Xenopus tropicalis: one gene and its partners. The protein of the gene in region 2 purifies or fractionates together with the protein of the main gene of each other region. This does not show direct contact. Links are inferred from orthologs where the notes say so. Each region holds a gene or a part of one and is shown on either strand. Other genes may lie near its edges.

Region 1 (3,530 bases), on a different chromosome or scaffold from region 2:
CAACATGCCTACTATTACCTCAGTACTCAAATCACTATTTTTATCAGTATCTCCCTGAATCCCTTGGCCCCTAGGACCAAAAATTATTGCGGTCAGGATAGACCGCAATAGATAGATGGGGCGATTAATCACAGTGACTAATCTGTCTGTTCACACTCAATGTATTCTGACTCAGTGGGGGGAATTCACAAAAGTGTCGGTAAGTACACATTTCTCAAAGTGTCAGTCACCAAATTATAAAAATGTTGTGAGCATAAAAGGTATCTTATAGTTTTATGGATTTGTTGTATTGGTGCCAAATTTTAAAAAGTGTCATATACACAGTATGTGTATGAAAATGTCATTTGTGTGCCAAAACATTTATACAGACTTAGGAAACATTGTCGATAGGTTAATTTTGCCTAACATTTTCGTTATGGAGGAGACATTTTGGCATAAAAAATGTCTGTAAAAATGTTGTGGGTACAGCTTATTCTCATAAAGATTGTACACAATAGCCATGCCCACGTTTTAACATTTTGTGAAAATTGTTGGTAAAACAAACGGAAAACGTATTTTAGAAACAAAATATTTATTAACAATAAAAGAGATTCACAAAATCAAAAGCAGTGAAAAGCCACTGAGCAAATAATCCTAAAAAAAGGAGAGTCTCTGGTACAAAGACGGCAATGGATATGGGGCGACTGGCATCATCGAGGATTCCAGGAGTTCATCAGAACAAATGGCCTATCAGGGAGGAGGACACTTTCCTCTTTAGTACTGGAAGCTTCGCTTGGTCTGAATATCATCCAGGATCTGTTGCAGCTCCTCTTCCTCAAACCTCCCTTCCAGACTTAAAGGGAGAGAAAGAAAAAGGCGTTACCCAAAAGAAATAACATTATGATACTGCCAACACTTTACACGATGCTTTAAAGGCACTTTGAGCATCACATTTTTACACAGCCCAGTAATATTGCCTATACAGTTTTCTCCCCAGGGAAAAAAAGCGGGATTTTTCCACCTCACGAGGAAGAATAAAACTGATCTTACAGGAGAATAGTATTCTACTACAAGTGACCTGGGGGAAGAGCAGAATTGCCAGTGAAGTGCCCAGCCAAAATACCATAGGGAGAACACAGTGCCAATGCAGGTCAGGCAATTTTAATAGCAATGGGTTCAGCATTTTGGCAAATAAGTTTTGGGCTGCTCAAACAAATCACTAAGAAGGCCCCATATGCAGTTACCCTTGGAAGCACCAGAGAGTTACAAAAGTAAATAAACAAGTATAAAAACCGGGTGGGAATGCCCAACCACACAAGATGGATTAAAAAATGTAAACCTTCCAAAAAAAAAAAAAAAGTAAAATTGTGCCTAGAGCACTTAAGCAATTTACATTTCCCCCCCAAGATTAGAAGCGGTTTTTAAACTAATATGAATTTTTTTAACAACAGCGCCACCTGCTGGTTTTCTGACACTAATACCATCAAGAATATGTCCACTTTGAGCAATTGTGTAATTTTTTTTTTTTTGTAAGGTTTACAGTTTCTGTAAATCACTGGGAGGTGTAAATCTGGGCCTCTAGCCAAGGGTAAATGGCTGGGGAGAGCTGCGCCTTCATATTTCTTTAGCTATTCCCTGTACAGGCATGGGCAGCATGCACAACAAAGCGCTAACATACTGTGCATTTGCAGGATCCCACACAAGGAACAGATGGAATATGTAAAAAGACAGTGGCACTCACTGGCCAAGTACCCAAGGCTGGTCCTTTTTTTATTTTAAAGAGGTGCTACAGTCTGGATAATTTGGCACCTTCAGTGATTCAACTTTTCCTTGTTCCGTTATGGGAAATGAAATGCATTGAGGATTAAACAAGAAGAGAAAGCAGGTAAGATATTGGATTAGTATTGCCGTCTGTATGGGATGGAAGGAGTTCTAGGACAAGTTGAGCTGAGTTAGAAAAGTGGGGGATAAAAAGGGGCATTAAAGGAGAATTTCTGCTAGAATGTGTAAGAACACAGAGAGGAACTGGATTTTTTAAATAAGTAATATGAGGAGCATATTCTGGTGAATTTGTACTTTTGATTTACCTTGGGATCAAGGCTTTAGCCTCATCTGCTGTCTCTGGGCACAGATTGGCCAAACAGGCTAGCTCAAAGCGATGCAGCTTCTTCTGTAACAGCAAGCTTGCAAGGACACAGAGGAACACAGGTTACACAGGTCATTCCAAGAGAGGTAATGTTACTGCTGCTCCCTGAACCAGTACAAAATATGACAATTTGAACTTTAAACCAGCCTTACAAGACTAATCATACTCCCTTCTGCAGGTCAACATTTGGCCAATCTCCTTCCTTAGCTTAAAGTGATAGTGACACTAAAAAATTATTTTTTAAAATATTAATGTACATTAAGTTACCCATAGGCCATGCTGATCATTTGCTTTTTCAAGTAACTGAAGTTCCTAAACCTGACTGTCCCTGTTCAACCTGGCAGTTATAGCTTCTACCCCACCCCACCCCCCAGCAGCCGATCAGTAGAATAATGGGAAGGGAGCAAGATAGCAGCTCCCAGTAAATATCAGAATAGCACACCTCTGTGAGTTTCAGATGTCACCTTTCTGAAGAGTTACAAAGTGCCATTGTGATTGGATTAGTGGAAGAGTATATATGCTGAGGACTTCCCATACCAGTCAGTTGAACTGAAGAAGCTGCTCGGATGAGTAGTGAAACGTCTTCAATGATTACTAAACAAGTCCAGTTGCTTTAAATTTATTTATACTAGATATACCATGACCTGGATGAATGAAAATCTTCATAGACACTCAATAGTAAGAAATCCAAGTCCGGCTTGGGACTCCTCCGGTTACATGGGAGTAGGAGAAACAATAGGTTACCTGAAAGCAGTTCTAATGTGTAGCACTGGCTCCTTCTGAAAGCTCAGACTCAGGCACAATGCACTGAGATGGCGCCTACACACCAATATTACAGCTAAAAAATACATTTGTTGGTTCAAGAATAACATTTAAATGGTAGAGTGAATTATTTGCTATGTAAACAGTGTAATTTAGAAATAAAAAATTACACCATAAAAATCAGGACTGCATAAACAATCTTATATGTAAGACCCTGCTTCATCTAAATAAAACCATTTTCTTCAAAATATATTTGGTTTTAGTAGTATGTGCTATTGGGTAATCCTAAATAGAAAATAGCCATTTTAAGAATTAAGGGCCGCCTCCCGGGATCATAGGAGTCACAGTGCACACAAACAAGCCAAGGCACACATACATGTTAGGCCCCATCAGCCAATGAATGGACACAGTTCTGCCTTTTGCTCCCACACTACTGATTGTTAAGTATTCATTCTGGGGGTACAGTTTTTCTTTAAGGAAGACATCATATATACAAGTTAGCAGCCCCCGGGGAGAAATCCAACCCACCTTCCAAATGGCACAACTGCACTTGGTGCCTTAACTGTTCAGAAAAAGCAGTGGGGTTAGTGGGCACCATCTTGCACTGCTTCAACTTTGCAGCAAACTTGCACCAGGAACATGT
Region 2 (3,656 bases):
CAGCTAGTGATTTAAACACCAAACATGCAGGACTATATACACAGAGTAGAACACAGAACTCTGAGTATTATAACCAACCCATCAAAATAAATTAAAAAGATAGACTGTAATCCATAATCAGGACAGTAGACAATCCTATTACAGGTATAGGACCCATTATCCAGAATGCTCGGGACCAAGGGTATTCCGGATAAGGGGTCTTTCCGTAATTTGGATCTCAACACCTTAAGTCTACTAAAAAATCAATAAAAAATTAATTAAACCCAATAGGATTGTTTTGCATCCAATAAGGATTATTTATATCTTAGTGGGGATCAATTCCAAGGTACCGTTTTATTTCTACATAGAAAAGGGAAATCAGTTTTATAATTCTGAATTATTTGATTATAATGGAGTCTATGGGAGACGGGCTTTCCGTAATTCGGAGCTTTGTGGATAACGGGTTTCCGGATAAGGGGTCCGATACCTGTAATATGATTTATTACCATAAATCTGTATTATTTATTATCGTAAATCCTTCCAAAAATAAAGTTGTTGTTCTGTTATCTGCTAATATTTTCTCAAAAGGTGAATATAAAGACTTCACCCACAGTTTAAAAGAGAGAAAAAAAATGGGCAGAATACAAATACCCCATGGATCAAAGGAGGATATTTCTACCAAAGTGCATAACCAACAGTGAACATAATTTGCTAATTTTCTGCCCAGCTCCTGTATCCTGGAAAATTGAAAATTAAGTGATTTAGCAGTCACAAAGATGAACTCTGTGCTAAATACCATCCGGTCCTGGACCTTTCAAATGTTTACTTTAATATGTTTTCTTCAAATGTTCTAATCTCTTTTAAACTTACCATAGTCAACCAGCCACCAATAGATAATTATTAGAATTGGGCCCATTAAAAAAGGTTTTCAGGCACAAATGGCTACCTAGGTTGGCATTTTGAGGTAATTGGCAATTAAGTGTGATCTTGTGTGTTTTGCCACTGCATTTTACTAAGACAAAATGTAGCAGGCAAAATACAGGTCTGACTGATGGGACATAGATGGGATTCTGTGTGCATTTTATGGACTAAAATAAAGACTGTGTCAATAAAGACAATTTCACCTGTTCCAATGAAACAACGTAACACATCTACAAATGAATATTCTATACATATATCCCCTCACAACAGCCTTACGTACACTTTTTTAAGCTTTTCAAGCACAATTCGTCTTCGGATTTGCTGCTGAGAGCAAGAATCTACAAGAGGAAGGGCTGGGGTCCACAAGGTATCAGTCTAAAAAGAAATAAAAATATTGTTAGGCTTGCACTACAGTACTAAATACGAGAAGCATCTGTTTATACTGAACCAAGTGGTTAATGTGTGTTATTTTAAATGGTACAGTGTAATATTAATAGGGATGCACCGAATCTAGGATTCGGTTCGGGATTAGGCCTTTTTCAGCAAGATTCGACCAAATCCACGTTCCTGGCACGAACCGAATCCTAAAAATCATTTCACGTAAACGCGGAAGTAAACATTTGGGTTCGGTATTCAGTCAAATCCTTTATAACGGATTCTTTAAGTTGCAACCAATGGGAGCTAGCTAGACATGAAAATATATGTGCATGGACTTTATAACAGAGTTTGTAGAATTAAAAACACTGTGTCCAAAACTGCTTGAAATAATTGTGTATGATACAGACCAAATTTAGGTGCGGTGGTTCATCTACTTTTTAGTGCAGAAGGATTATTGTTCTTGCTGCTAGCAGGAAATAATGGGTTAGAAATCTGCTCTTTTATATACTGTCTGAAAGCACTCTTTTAGAAGTCATTGGCTATTAATTGAAACCTATTTGCCTGCAACCTGTTTAGGGTCACATATAAGCTAGTCCAAACAGACTAAAATGGGCTGAAGGGTCACCACATATTACTTCCTTTAAGGTAGCCATACACAAATAGACCCAAGGTTGCCAAACAAGTGGATCTTTCCCCAGTATGGCCACCTGTATTTAGGTCTGGTGCCACCCTAGCTCAACTGCTGGATTTACAAGGGAATCTCTCTGTTAGCGGCTAGGGAGAGTTTAAGAAAAAAAAAAATTATTGTATGGGCACCTGAGAGACGTCCCAGGCACAGGCCCTCGGATATAAATATGGCCATGGATATTGGATTGATTAAATCTTTAATTGTATTGATTTTTGGCCAGATATTGGTCAGGCAGGTCAGTCTGAGGGTCCCATAAAAGGGTCGATAAGTAAGATAAGGTAAATCTGGCCAACAGAGTGGTAGAAGTGGTAGAAATAATTTATATCCCTTTATAAAAACAAAAACACGAATATCAGCATTTATCTACACTTACTTCTTTATTTCTAGTCTCTTTTCCTTCATTTATTTTATATTCCATGTCTTCTGGCAAAATGTAATGTCCATGAAAAAAATCTTTCACCCTAATTTGTTGCATACATGCCTTCTCTTTTAGCTTTTCATAATCTGGCACTACTTTCGCTGGATTTCTCGTTTCATGGAAAGGCAAAGACTCATTCAAGCTGCTGACTTTATTTGGATCGAAACTTAAATCATCTTCATCCAGGTCCTCAACCTCAACTCTACTCCTTACAGAGTCTTTCTTATGAAATGAGGAATCGATCACATAGTTTGCACCAAACAAATATTTCAGGGTTTCTTCAGTTTTCCATTCATTTAAGGTCTGTGTAAGTACCTCTAGCATACCTCCCTTAGCAGCACCAGGGGAAATACCCTCTTTAAGAGCAGTCTGATACTGTGTAGAATTGCGCAGTATTTTACGAAGCTGTTCTGCCCCTTTTTTGCTCACAGCTCTGTGTGTCAATCCCAACATTTCTGAATTACTTTGTACATTATGTGAACTTTCAACACTTTTTGGACAGTTCGGTATTTTAGAGTTTGACATGATTTCTTGGTCGCTTAAATTGCATTTATGCAAACTTTCCACTGTTTCTGTTAAGCTGTGCGCTAGGTTATGAGCCTTTTCCAAATTAATAGAATTCTTCTTTCCTACTTTTTTGGTATCATTGCTGCTTGAGATTACTGACGAAACAAAGGCCTGCTCGTTGTCCCCTTGACCATCGCTATCACTGCCAGGAGAGTTGGGATCATATTCCTCAGTAAATGTTGAAAGTTTTTCGATCTCTGACTCTTTGATGCATCTTTCAGATAATTTAACCTCTATACCAGAATGACCACTAGAATATAAACAGGTAAAGTGAAAATAGGAATGCATTTTTTCTGCATATGTTAAAGGGGTTGTTCACCTTAATAGTAACTTTTAATATGTTATAAAATGTTCTATTACTAGCAGCTTTGCAACTTGGCTTCATTATTTCTTTTTTGTAGTTTTCAAATTATTTGCCTCCCACTTCTACATCCTTCAAGCTTTCAAATGGAGGTCACTGACCCCAACAGGCACAAACTATTGCTCTGTGAGCTTACAGTTAAATTATTGTTACTTTTTTATTACTTACCTTTCTATTCAGCCCTTCTCCTATTTATATACCACTCTCTCATACCACTGTCTGGTGTTATCCAGAATGCTCGGGACTAATAACAAAATCATTCAAACATTCAATAAGCCAAATAAGATTGTTTTACATCCAGTAAGGATTAAGAATATATTAGACAGGATCATGTACAAGTTACT
Region 3 (3,756 bases), on a different chromosome or scaffold from region 2:
GTTTGAAAATTTTTGTAGTTAAATTTTGCCCATTATCCAAATGTTTGTAGGATCAAGCAGGCAGTTTTCTTAGATTCAACTAGACGATATCAATTGAAATTATAGTTTTCGTTAATGGGCAAATCGTACTTTTAAACTATTATTTTAAACTAGATAAGCTTGGTTCTACGATAATGAAAAGATTTTTCAAAAATCCAGCCAGCTTAAGTGAGACCAACTTTCAAGGAAATCAGGGATAATATCCTAGCTGGGTTAAATGTACTAGGCGACCTAGTACTATCAATAATGTAGCTCACTGCTGTCATCATGTTCAGTCTCCCATAAGGAAGCTGGGAAATCCGAGCTCCCTCTTGTTCAAACATTTGGTGCTTGCTGCTGGGGGAGCTACTGCCTAGTGCGGGTTGACCCAAAACCTGTGGGATCCATGGGTCAGAGGGTCTGGAATGGGTAAAGGCTTTGGAAGTTAGAGTCAGATCCAATTTGAGTTTTTCCTGAGCCGCACATCACTACCAAAGCCTTTTTCTCTAGTACTCTCGGGGATTCCCTGCACTGTCCTGGATAGGCAAATTCACAGTTTAGGCCTTTTTTTTTTTTTTTTGGAGACTTCTTTACTTGCTGCTGGCTAGAGCCTCTTGTTTCCAATCACATAATTCTGCAAGAATACTCCACAGTAATAAAACACTGCTTAAAAAGCTACTTATAAAAATGAACTTTTAGTTGGCATATTTTGTAACACTGCATTACCTTGTTTTATTGGGATCCACTGGACTACATTAGACAAGCAGTTAGGTACACCTCCATTAGCGAGGTACCATTCACAAATTACAAACAATAGGCTGGCTTTCTGTTTTTTTGCCTTCTTTCTCTCTCTTCAGTTCAAGTTTACTGAGTATACATATCAAATTACAGCTTGTACAGTTCACCATACAACCAACAAGGTATATAAACATCACTGTTGTAAAGAGAAACTGAAGAGAGTTAAAAGTTAAGTCATTTCAAATGCAGACCATTATTAAAAATGAGTTACGTTATTACAGTTGTAGGGAAACCTATCCTTGAAGAGGGTGTTTTCTTAGCCAGAGTGCAGGTAAGGTTTGGAAGCACACTACACTTGGAGCAGATTTATCAAATTGTAAGATTAGAACTCACCACAGAAAAATTCACCCTATGGTATTTTTATAAGTGTATTTAGCAAATTTAGCAAACTCTAACTTTAATTCGTTGATATGCTTCTAAAAAATCTCACAGGGATAAACAGAATGTGGATGAATTTTTATATGGAGAGCTGTAATCTTACATGTTTATAAACCTGCCCCTCCGTGCATATTGTTGTAACTCAGAGAGAGGAAGGAGCGACTGGAAGCGGCCGCAAGGCGGCACTACCAATGCTTGGAAGCAGCTAAAAGTATCATGGGTGTAGCAACATGGCTGCTCCGCATTCCTTAGACAATGTGGTTGACGAAATTCCGCTTTTCCTCGCCTCGGCTTCCTCTGAATGCTGAGTGGAACATAACTGTAAACAGAACACTGAATGTAAATGTTGTTCCTTAGCAGGGAGTATTTAGTAATATTTTAAGGTCACTAGTGGATGAAGGTGCCCTGTATCTTTGCTTGCGTTATCTAGGTGGGCCCAGTGAGGCGCCAGGGAAAAGCGCGGGGTGCGTAGCGAAAGCTCCGATCTCCCTAGTGGGAAAGTGGCTAGAGCCATATAGGGTAACTGGAACAGGCGCTGGTTGGAGACGAAGAGCGGTGGTGGGGGATGTCTGCTTTCTCAGAGGCGGCTTTGGAGAAGAAGCTATCGGAGCTGAGTAACTCCCAGCAAAGCGTGCAGACCCTGTCCCTGTGGCTCATCCACCATAGAAAACACTCACGGGTCATCGTCACCGTGTGGGACAGGGAGCTGCGGAAAGGTAAGGTAAGGCAAGCCAGGCAGCCTCAGTAATTGGAAACGCCAAGTTATAGGAGGGTAACGTAGAAGCGTTAGAACTGGATGTAACGTTGCATTTGTAGGAGATTGTTGCTGCTGTTACACAAATAGTATTTACATTCTAATGAAGATAGAAATGGCTGTGTGACGTCCCTCAAGCGACGCACATTGTAGCTCCGGACTGCGGCGTCTTACAGTCCCTCGAAGAGGCACCCTCGGGAAAGCAGATGTTCGGCAAATAAACAGGTTCCCTACTGAAGAAAATCGTTTCCCTACCTGCTTGTAATCTCTTTCTACAAATGGTGACGCTGGTCCTGCTTTTAATAGGAATATTCAACATTTGACCGGTGCGTTATTATCGGATTGTCGCAGAAAAAAAACAGGCCTTATTTTCAGTTGCGCGCAATGAAACCCACGCACAAAACTACACAAATTATGTTTATATGTATATTTTTCAGTGAGAAACAAAATTATCACTATAGGTATATGGGGAAAATCTGCTCAACAAAGGTGCCCAAGCACATGCGATAGTTGTTGTGTAACCAATATTACATATTATTGTAGCAAAGGGTGCAAAAGGGGTGTAGCAAATTATTGTAGCAAAGGGTGTGATAAACTTTTATTATCATCTGGCCACTTGTTGGGGTGGCACTGCTTTGGAAATAGTTGAAGGAGCTATGCTATGCTACTCAAATATGTGTTTTTTTTGTGTGTTTAACCTGCATTTAAAATGCATGTTTGGGCACACTTGTTTAAAATAGTTTTTTTCCAAAAATGCAACATGGTGCATTTTTATGCGCTCGACATTAAAATAGAGAGCTGCCTTTAGAAGAACACAGTATAACTATGTTGATGAAGTGCAAAATGCAATTTTGATTTGCATTTAGTCTCCTGTCCAAATGTGTTATAATAATTTTCAGTGGAAGTAAGAAAGGAAAAGGAAAATATTAAGTATTTGACAAAGACAATATTTTTGTATTACATATTTTATTGTGTGGGGATGGAACAAAAAAAACACATATCTAGCATAACCCTTACATGGTTAATGTGGCCATACACAGGCCGATTCTAGCTGCTGATATCAGTCCCTTAGACCGATTCAGCAGCTTATCGGGCCGTTTATGGGCACTAACGACGGGCCTGCCCGACTGACATCTGGCCTGAAATCGTCCAGATCTCGATCGGGCAGGTTTGAAATTTAGTCAGATTGGGAACCGCATCAGCTCATTGACGCAGTCCCTGAACCGACGGACGCCTATACCCCTCATTCTAATTTGATTGTTTTGCCCCAGGGCCAAACGTCCGAATTAGCACGATATCGCCCACCCGTAGGTGGGGATATTGGGAGAAGATCCACTCACTTGGCAACCTTGCCAAGCGAGCAGATCTTAGTGTGTATGGCCACCTTTAGAAACCTAAACCTCTAGATAATAAAATGCACAGGGGCCGTGGTGCTGCACTTGCATTAATTGTCATTTCTTTTTCCCAGAGTTCTTACGTAAATGCTTGGAATTACGACTGTCAAAATAACATAATGCACCAACCTGCTTTTTAAATGATCAAATTGCGAAGATTATGACACAAACTGCTGACTCATTATTGTTTTTTCCTTAAGTTTTGAGAATGAAGATGCATTACATTGCTTGATTTATTTCAGCTCATCTACAGAATATTCCTGTTGCACTAATCAAATGTGTGTTAAAGGACCAGTAACACCATAAATTGAAGGGTTTTGTTTTTTTCACTTTAAATTTGTCTGTCCATCCACATATAAATAAAATCAATCTTGGCCACATATGTCCTATTTATAAAGGTTTTCATTCTATAGT

What was found.
Region 1: the proteins of rpap2 (region 2) and polr2d purify together in Homo sapiens (affinity purification with mass spectrometry; 5 studies listed by BioGRID and IntAct, counting the BioPlex papers as one, with this or other methods). This does not show direct contact. The link is inferred for Xenopus tropicalis from reciprocal best matches to the Homo sapiens genes RPAP2 and POLR2D.
Region 3: the proteins of rpap2 (region 2) and rprd1a purify together in Homo sapiens (affinity purification with mass spectrometry; 3 studies listed by BioGRID and IntAct, with this or other methods). This does not show direct contact. The link is inferred for Xenopus tropicalis from reciprocal best matches to the Homo sapiens genes RPAP2 and RPRD1A.

Annotation. Positions count from the first base shown.
Region 1 is NC_030681.2:125,368,200-125,371,729, forward strand, and holds the end of polr2d (DNA-directed RNA polymerase II subunit RPB4), read right to left. Parts: intron 2,163-3,530; coding exon 2,067-2,162; intron 833-2,066; coding exon 754-832; 3' UTR 555-753; downstream 1-554. UniProt on the Homo sapiens protein: Core component of RNA polymerase II (Pol II), a DNA-dependent RNA polymerase which synthesizes mRNA precursors and many functional non-coding RNAs using the four ribonucleoside triphosphates as substrates.
Region 2 is NC_030680.2:104,520,126-104,523,781, forward strand, and holds part of rpap2 (putative RNA polymerase II subunit B1 CTD phosphatase RPAP2), read right to left. Parts: intron 3,202-3,656; coding exon 2,340-3,201; intron 1,276-2,339; coding exon 1,181-1,275; intron 1-1,180.
Region 3 is NC_030682.2:67,024,890-67,028,645, reverse strand, and holds the start of rprd1a (regulation of nuclear pre-mRNA domain-containing protein 1A), read left to right. Parts: upstream 1-1,403; 5' UTR 1,404-1,759; coding exon 1,760-1,910; intron 1,911-3,756. UniProt on the Homo sapiens protein: Interacts with phosphorylated C-terminal heptapeptide repeat domain (CTD) of the largest RNA polymerase II subunit POLR2A, and participates in dephosphorylation of the CTD by RPAP2.